3 linked regions of the Macaca mulatta genome follow. The protein of the gene in region 1 interacts with the protein of each later gene in a pairwise test. Links are inferred from orthologs where the notes say so. Each region holds a gene or a part of one and is shown on either strand. Other genes may lie near its edges.

Evidence for each region. The genes of interacting proteins can lie anywhere in the genome.
Region 2: the proteins of CREB3 (region 1) and CD82 interact in a two-hybrid assay, tested with the Homo sapiens proteins (2 studies listed by BioGRID and IntAct). The two-hybrid records come from large-scale screens. The link is inferred for Macaca mulatta from reciprocal best matches to the Homo sapiens genes CREB3 and CD82.
Region 3: the proteins of CREB3 (region 1) and AQP1 interact in binary tests that used the Homo sapiens proteins (3 or more experiments, as listed by UniProt). The two-hybrid records come from large-scale screens. The link is inferred for Macaca mulatta from reciprocal best matches to the Homo sapiens genes CREB3 and AQP1.

What each region holds. Positions count from the first base shown.
Region 1 is NC_133420.1:63,959,851-63,962,051, reverse strand, and holds the end of CREB3 (cyclic AMP-responsive element-binding protein 3), read left to right. Parts: intron 1-47; coding exon 48-154; intron 155-244; coding exon 245-313; intron 314-962; coding exon 963-1,047; intron 1,048-1,144; coding exon 1,145-1,229; intron 1,230-1,310; coding exon 1,311-1,645; 3' UTR 1,646-1,667; downstream 1,668-2,201. Other genes in the region: GBA2 (non-lysosomal glucosylceramidase), read right to left, coding at 2,088-2,201. UniProt on the Homo sapiens protein: Endoplasmic reticulum (ER)-bound sequence-specific transcription factor that directly binds DNA and activates transcription. Plays a role in the unfolded protein response (UPR), promoting cell survival versus ER stress-induced apoptotic cell death.
Region 2 is NC_133419.1:20,973,128-20,975,476, forward strand, and holds the end of CD82 (CD82 antigen), read right to left. Parts: coding exon 2,293-2,349; intron 2,022-2,292; coding exon 1,938-2,021; intron 1,612-1,937; coding exon 1,534-1,611; 3' UTR 624-1,533; downstream 1-623. UniProt on the Homo sapiens protein: Structural component of specialized membrane microdomains known as tetraspanin-enriched microdomains (TERMs), which act as platforms for receptor clustering and signaling.
Region 3 is NC_133408.1:97,453,140-97,457,185, reverse strand, and holds the end of AQP1 (aquaporin-1), read left to right. Parts: coding exon 1-133; intron 134-462; coding exon 463-543; intron 544-1,366; coding exon 1,367-1,546; 3' UTR 1,547-3,423; downstream 3,424-4,046. UniProt on the Homo sapiens protein: Forms a water channel that facilitates the transport of water across cell membranes, playing a crucial role in water homeostasis in various tissues.

The DNA.
Region 1 (2,201 bases):
TGTTCTAGAGTCCCTCTAATGATACCCCTTTCCTTGTTTCCTTTCAGATGGAGGAACAAATTCTGAAACGTGTGCGGAGGAAGATTCGAAATAAAAGATCTGCTCAAGAGAGCCGCAGGAAAAAGAAGGTGTATGTTGGGGGTTTAGAGAGCAGGTATGAAAGGGAGAGGGACTCAGTTTTAAGTGTTAGGTTTTTGAAGGGAGGACACAGGCCATATCCCCATATCTTTGTTATTTCCCCCAGGGTCTTGAAATACACAGCCCAGAATATGGAGCTTCAGAACAAAGTACAGCTTCTGGAGGAACAGAATTTGTAAGTATCCCTCCAAACCATTCCCTTCCTACGCTCCTCATTTAATGTTTTCTCACTCTTTCCCCTGCCCTACACTTGATTTCTAACAGGGTGGCTGCCTTCACTAGGTCTCTGATTCTAAGAAGCTCACAGTAGTGGGGAATATATTTATAAGTAACTGAGAATAAGCTAAGTACCTAGAAAAAGAAAGGGGGTAAGAAAGACCTCATGGGCTTTCATAGGATTCTGGGGTTGGGTTGGGAAAGCATTCTAGGCAGAGAGAAAGCATCCTAGGCAAGAGGATTAGCCCAGCATAGTCCTCTTGGGCTGGAACACATGTGAGCTGGGACAGAAGGTAGAGAACGTAGAGAATGCCCGGTGAGGATTATGTGCATAGCTGATCAGACAATGGGGAACTACTGATGATATTTGCAAAGGAGGTTAAGTCCTGGAAGAGTTTGTTTTGTTTTGTTTTTGCTTTTTTTGTTTGTTTTAATGAGGAACTTCAGGCATTTTTTCCAGAGTGGAAGAAGTCGTTTGCAAAAATAGAATGAAAAGTAAGAGAGAGGATCCAGTGCAGAGATGGAGGAGGTGGCCTGAACAGGAGTTTCACTGTGTCTCAGGGTGCTAGGCCAGGGGATGCTCACCATTGGCCCCTCTCTTCCTCTAGGTCCCTTCTGCATCAACTGAGGAAACTCCAGGCCATGGTGATTGAGATATCAAACAAAACGAGCAGTAGCAGCACCTGCATCTTGGTGAGGATAGTGATGAGGGGAGAAATTCTTTTCTCAGTTGCTGGGGACAGTTGTGCAATCCAGAGCCCTTCTTCATCTCCTTTTTCCTCTGCTGTAGGTCCTACTAGTCTCCTTCTGCCTCCTCCTTGTACCTGCTATGTACTCCTCTGACACAAGGGGGAGCCTGCCAGCTGAGCATGGAGGTAAGAGGCTTAAGGATAGCTCTCAGACATGGGCAAGGGGAGAGGCCTGGGTTGGCCTCTGAAGATTCTTTGTCTCCTCAGTGTTGTCCCGCCAGCTTCGTGCCCTCCCCAGTGAGAACCCTTACCAGCTGGAGTTGCCTGCCCTGCAGTCAGAGGTGCCAAAAGACTGCACACACCAGTGGCTGGACAGCTCAGACCACGTACTCCAGGCCCCTGGCAACTCTTCCTGCCTACTGTACTACATGCCTCAGGCTCCCAGTGCAGAGCCTCCCCTGGAGTGGCCATTCCCTGACCTCTTCTCAGAGCCTCTCTGCCGAGGTCCCATCCTCCCCCTGCAGGCAAATCTCACAAGGAAGGGGGGATGGCTTCCTACCGGTAGCCCCTCTGTCATCTTGCAGGACAGATACTCAGGCTAGATATGAGGATATGTGGGGGGGGTCTCAGCAAGAGCTTGTGGGGCTCCCCATCTGTGTCCAAATAAAAAGGGGTGGGCGAGGGCTGGCTGCAGCTCCTATGCCCTATCAGGAGGACTGAGGGCTCAAACACACCACACTTACTGGCTTTCTGGGTCTTTTATTTGTACCCATGTGTCTCACCCCATGAATGTACCTGGGGAAATCAACTGACCTCCCTGAACATTTCATGCAGTGAGGGAACGGGTGAGGAAAGAAATAAATAAGTGATTCTAATGCTGCCTAGGTCACCCTCAACCCCCATTTACTGGCACAACTGGGTGGGGAGAAGGGAAGGGGTATGATTGTCCTGATGGCTCAGGGTTGCAGAAGGTTCAGAGGGGAAGGAGGAAAGGCCAGGCTGGAGGCTGGGCTATTAGTGCTTTCCTCCCACAGTTCAGACGGTTCACTCTGGGCTCACGTTTGCCATGGCTTCCTTTGGTCCAAACATAGGCCCTGTCCTTAGTCCTGTGCCCTGTTCGACTTTTGGCCTGGAGGCCTTTTTGTGCTGCTGCTGTTG
Region 2 (2,349 bases), on another chromosome or scaffold:
AGCAGTTCTCCTTCCTGAGCCTCCTGAGTAGCTGGGATTACAGGCGTGCACCACCATACTCGGCTAATTTCTGTATTTTTTTGGAGAGATGGGGTTTCACCATGTTGGCCAGGATTGGACTCGAACTCCTGACCTTAAGTGATCCACCTGCCTCAACCTCCCAAAGTCTCACATTTCATCTTTAAAAAGTCCCCTGAATTCTGCACATCTTACTCTAACACATTTCTTTAGTATGAAAATGCTTCCTTCCACAAATCTTTGCAAAAATGATGCTCTAGAAAGCGAGACCAAGTTTATCCTGTGGCCCCTGTCCCCCATCACCAGCCCACATTTTGTGTACCTTCTGGGGGCATCCATACCCTAGTTTCAGAAGCGGGAATGGAGAGATACAATCTATACCTCTCTTAGCACCAAATCAAACTCCAGGCACCCCACCGTGCAGGCAGGCCCATCAGAGCCTGGCCCATCACCGTCCTAAGATTCAGGCTGCAGAGGCAGATGCCTGCGGGGAGGGCAGAGCCGTGAGGGGCCCAGCAGTCTCCAGCAGACCCAGCCACTCTGCTCACACCCTCTGCCCTGGGTCCTCCCCTGCCCCAGGAAGCAGCATCCCTACCATTCCAGACTAGACTGTTATAAATCTTCTTTAATAGTCTTAGAATCTTGAGTGTGTTTTACAGAATGGTGCACACAGAGCCCCCTCCCCTCTCCCCCCTACAAGGCACAGCCTCACCCACCCCACTCCCCAGGGGCCAGAGGACAGCTTGCCAAGAAAGGCCAGCCCACCTTCTCCCAGGAGAAGCCATCCTCCTCCTCCCTGTCCCTGGACAGCTCAGGACCCTGGAAAACACAGGGCCAGCTCTGTGCCATGCCCCCAAGGACTCACCCGTCCCTAAGCAGCTCAGGGCCAAGCCAGATCTCGTTACCCAGGCAGACCCCCTCCGACCCAGCTCCCCTAAGCCCTGTCCCCAGGGCATGGCCCAGGCTAATCTGAGCTGTCTAGATGGACCTGCATCAGGCCTGGGGAAGGGGTGCTACCCCTTAATATCAGGTAAAACCCACCCTCTCCCACTGCCTTCAATATAATTGTGAAAAAACAAAGATATAAATGTCATAGTGGAAATAAGTTGACCCGCCCAGTAGGCAGTCTCCTGACAGCCCAGGGTGCCTTATCTAACGCCCCCCCTCCCAATTTTTAATACAGTTGCCCCCTATACAATATACACACACCCTTGAGGGCAGGTAGAAGTCCAGCCCACCTGCGCCAGGGACGCTGCGGGGAGCGTTTTTCTCTGAGTTGCTAAGAGAACCCTGATGAGCGGTGAGCAGAGGAACCATAGAACAGCCAGGGCTCAAGGCTGACAGCGGATAGGCCAGGAGAGATCGCCAGGCCCCAGAAAGCCCCCTACTTTCAGTCAGGGTGGGCAAGGGGGTCTTTGCAGTGAGGTGGGAGGCGGGCCTGGAGGAGGGAGCCAGGGAGACCCCTGGGAGCCCTGAGGTCAGGGGCCGGGCAGGGAGGTGTGGACAGCAGCTGCCTCAGTACTTGGGGACCTTGCTGTAGTCTTCGGAATGGACGTGCCGGCACAAGCAGATGGACAGGACCATCCCCAGGAGCTGTGGGGAGAGGCGGAGAGTCACAGGGAGGCTGGGCTGTCCTGGTCTCAGATGCCCCAGCCCCGCCATCCAGGTTTAGATGGGGATTAAGTGGATCCTCAACTTGAGCCTCACAACCACCCTGTGATGCAGGCAGTAGAGGGAGGCCCAGAGAGGTGCAGTGCCTTGTCTGAGGTCACACAGCCAGACAGTGCTCAGGCCAGAGGGCCTCTGGAAGCTGATGGGGTGCTGGGGCCCTTGGCCACCACCTCCCCGAGGAGAAAAGCAGAGCAGAGACAACCCAGGAGGACCAGGGATGGAGAAGGGCTGGGGGAGGGGGCTCAGACCTCAATGACAGCCACGCCCACGCCCACGCCGAGGATGATGCCCAGGTTCTCCTGCAGCCACGCCTGCACCTTCTCCATGCAGCCCTGCAAGGGGAGAACACGGTCACACCACCCCACCCTGCACCATCCCGCCCCACCATGCAGAACCACCGAGAGCCCCCCAGTCCCAGCCTGGAAGGGTTCTGCCTGTTCCTTGAATGAATTACATTAACAAAGAAGTAGATGAAGGTACAAATGACAGGTGAATCAAGGGAAGGAACTAAATGGAGGAAGGAAGAGCTGAGCAGTAGCCCAGACGGCCCCCAACACCCTCAGATCCCAGCCCCCAATCCGCAGCCCCCCGCCCACCGCACACCTTCTGGTACACAGGCCAGTCCTCAGGTTTGTTGCCACTCCGGGTCCTGTTGCCGGC
Region 3 (4,046 bases), on another chromosome or scaffold:
GGGCATCGAGATCATTGGGACCCTCCAGCTGGTGCTGTGTGTGCTGGCCACTACTGACCGAAGGCGCCGCGACCTTGGTGGCTCAGCCCCCCTTGCCATTGGCCTCTCTGTAGCCCTTGGACACCTCCTGGCTGTGAGTCAGGGGCCCACCCAGATGGTGGGGGCGAAGGGAGGGCAGGGGCTGGTGGGGTGCCCTGCCATGGGCAGCCAGTGGAGCTCCCGGCAGGGCTCTTGCCATTGGGTGGAGGACGGCAGGTCAGTGCTGGGGACTGGGGGGCAGGGTCCTGCCCTGGAGAGGAGCAGAGGGACCTCCTGCCCAGCTTGGGGTCAGCACTCCTCTCTTGCTGGGTCTCATTGTCCCCCACCCTGATTGTTCTCTCTCCCTCCACCCTCTCCCTCCTCTCACTCTCTCTTCACCTGTGACTCTCTGCCTTTGCCTCTCCCTGTCTCTTTCCCTCACAGATTGACTACACCGGCTGTGGGATTAACCCTGCTCGGTCCTTCGGCTCCGCGGTGATCACACACAACTTCAGCAACCACTGGGTAGGCGACCCACAGGCTGCCCCTACTGTGCAGGGAGGTAGGGTGGGAGGCTTTGGTGTCCCATGGTAAGCCTGACCCCACTCTCACAGTGTCCCTTCCTGTCCTGGAGGCTCTAGGAGACAGCCAGGGGACAGGAAATCAGGAAACCGAGGCCTGCCATGTAGAGGCAGGGTGGGGTCACACTGTGAGCAGTTTCAGGCCCAGTCTCTGCCCTCCCAGCTCGGCCCTGCCCCATGCTGCCTGGCCTCCAGGTCATCCCAGTTGTGTGGTTGAAAGTGGGGCTCCAAATCCTGGCTCAGCCACTTTCAGGTTCAGCATGACCTTGCACCGTGTGCTTGAGCCTTGGTTTCCTGAGCTTCGGAGGGGCATATGGTGGTACCCACCTCTCAGGGTGGCCAGGAGGAGGAAAGGGCTCACTCCCTATCTGTAAACTGAGCGCAACACAGAGGAGGCGCTCAGTGGATTTTGTCTCTTATGGTTGTGGATGTGGATGTGCTAGGCCAGCTTTGCATTAGGCAATGGTATCTGGGGCCCTTTCAAAGCTGGAAGCGTGGGGGCAGTGGCCTTCCTCAAGAAGGGGCTGCTACTGCCCATGCCTGAGCTGGGCCATGCAGAGGCAAGGAGGTGCCCTTACCACGTACTCTGGCCTGGGCCAGTTTTGAGGGCACTGGAATCAGGATGTTAGGATTTGGTGCTCCTACCTGCCTCCATCGCAGGTGGGAGAAAACCTGTCCAACGGGGTGGTGGGCTGGGAGGTAACCCAGGGAACGATTTCCAGGGGCTTCTGAGTGGAGCCGTCTCAACGTACCTGCTCTGTTCCTAGATTTTCTGGGTGGGGCCATTCATCGGGGGAGCCCTGGCTGTGCTCATCTACGACTTCATCCTGGCCCCACGCAGCAGTGACTTCACAGACCGCGTGAAGGTGTGGACCAGCGGCCAGGTGGAGGAGTATGACCTGGATGCCGACGACATCAACTCCAGGGTGGAGATGAAGCCCAAATAGAAGGGGTCTGGCCTGGGCATCCACGTAGGGGGCAGGGGCAGGGACGGGCGGAGGGAGGGGAGGGGTGAAATCCATATTGTAGACACTCTGACAAGCTGGCCAAAGTCACTTCCCCAAGATCTGCCAGACCTGCATGGTCAAGCCTCATTTGGGGGTGTTTCTATCTCTTTCTTTCTCTTTCTGTTTCCTGGCCTCAGAGCTTCCTGGGGACCAAGATTTACCAATACATCCACTCCCTTGAAGTCGTGGAGGAGGTGAAAGAAAGGGACCCACCTGCTAGTCGCCCCCTCAGAGTGTGATGGGAGGTGTGCCACAAAGTCCCCCCTTGCCCCAAAGTTGCTCGCCGACTCACCTGCGCAGGTGCCTGGGATTCTACTGTAATTGCTTTGTGCCTTTGGGCATGGCCCTCCTTCTTCTCCTAACATGCACCTTGCTCCCAATGGTGCTTGGAGGGGAGAGATCCCAGGAGGTGCAGTGGAGGGGCAAGCTTTGCTCCTTCAGCTCTGCTTGCTCGCAGGCCCCCGACCCGCTCGGACTTATGGCCTGACCTTGGAATTGTCCCTATCTCAGGGCCTCAGCGACCTCCTTCTGCAAAGTGGCAGGGATCGGCAGAGCTCAATGGGCCTGCAACCCCTAAGTGCAGACACAGTATGGGTCCAGAAGATGTGGTCTAGACCAGGGCTGCTCTTTCCACTTGCCCTGTGTTCTTTCCCCAGGGGCATGCCTGTTGCCACACGCCTCTGTGTACGTGTGTGCAGAGCAGACAGGCTACAAAGCAGAGATCGACAGCCAGCCAGGTAGTTGGAACTTTCTGTTCCCCATGGAGAGGCTTCCCTAGACAGAATAAAGCCATTTAGAGGGTGAAGGAGGAATACCCATGTTATTTCTCTGAGTTTCAGTTGGTCTTTCCATCTATCACTGCATTATCTTGCTCATTCTTTCAGTTCTCTACTCCCTGTCATCAGTGTAGACACAGGTCACCATTATGCTGGCGTATGTTTATCAAAGAGCACTTGAGCTATCTGAAGCCCAAAGCCTGAGAACAGAAAGACCCTGATGCAGGTCAGCCCATGGAGGCAGATGACCTTGCTGGGCCTGGGGGTTTTCCAAGCCCTCAGCTGGTCCTGAGCAGGATGGAGCAAGCTCTTCTCTTGTTCATGAGCTCCTGGTTGGAGGCATTTGAGCAGGTGAGTAACCTGCACAGGCTTGCCGTGTGACCCCTGGCCACAGCCTTCCCTCCGCATTGACCTGGAGGGGAGAGGTCAGCCTTGACGTGATGAGGTTGCTATAGTTGCAGCCCAAGGACAGTTCAGAGATCAGAATCAGCTTTGAAGGCTGAATTCTTCCACTCATCTATCTACATAAGTCCATTCATTTCCACCAGGGCCAGAGCAGCTCCACCACTGTGCACTTAGCCATGATGGCAACAGAAACCAAGAGACACAATTACACAGGTATTTAGAAGCAGAGGGACAACCAGGAGGCCCTTAGCTATCACCAGCGCATCACGACTGCACACTGTCTTCTCCATTCCCTAGCAGGAACTTCTAGCTCATTTAACAGATAAACTGAGGCCCACGGTTTCAGCTAAACAATGATTTGGCCAGGCCTAGTAACCAAGGCCCTGTCTCTGGCTACTCCCTGGACCACAAGGCTGATTCCTCTCATTTCCAGCTTCTCAGTTTCTGCCTGGGCAATGGCCAGGGGCCAGGAGTGGGGAGGGTTTGATGGAGGGGAGAGGGGGCACACCCACCCCCTGCTTGGTTCTAGGCTGCTGCACACCAGGGCCCTGCATCTGTCTGCTCTGCATATATGTCTCTTTGGAGTTGGAATTTCATTATATGTTAAGCAAATAAAGGAAAATGACTTGTAAGGTCCTTCGGGCTTCCTGTAGTTTTTCTTCTTTTGATGCCATGTCCCCACAAATGTTTCTGGATGACTCCACAAGGAAATCAGTCCACTGCTAGAGACCTAGTCTGAGGAGGAGCCACTGCCTCCTCTTCTGCCTTCAAGACCACCAATCTCAGGCGATGGATACAGCCACACCCCCAAAACCCTATCTGAGGGATACAGGGTCCTGCCCCTAGCCGGAGACTTCCAGAGCCCAGTGGGATGACTTTGGAGACCTGGGGTCAGGGAAAAGGGGCAGGCTTCTGATCAGTTTAAATGGAGCGATGGGAGCCATTTCTGATTCCGGAGTATGGACGTGATGGGGGAAAGCAGGCCTGAAGTCTAACAGCCCCCTCATCCCCTCTACCCTCCACAGAGCAGGGCCCAGGGAACACTAGGGATTGTTCCACCTTCCTCCCTCCCTCCACTCACATTTGCAACCCATCTGACCGGGGCTGGGCATCTCAGGGGAGACAGACTCACTCATCAGAGCCCAGTGCAGTTAGGGCTACTTCAGATTGAGACTGGGACCCCAGCTCCTGACCCTTCCGATGTGCACACACACTTAGTAGTGCCTGATAATAGGGAACAGGTATCACCACGGCAGTGG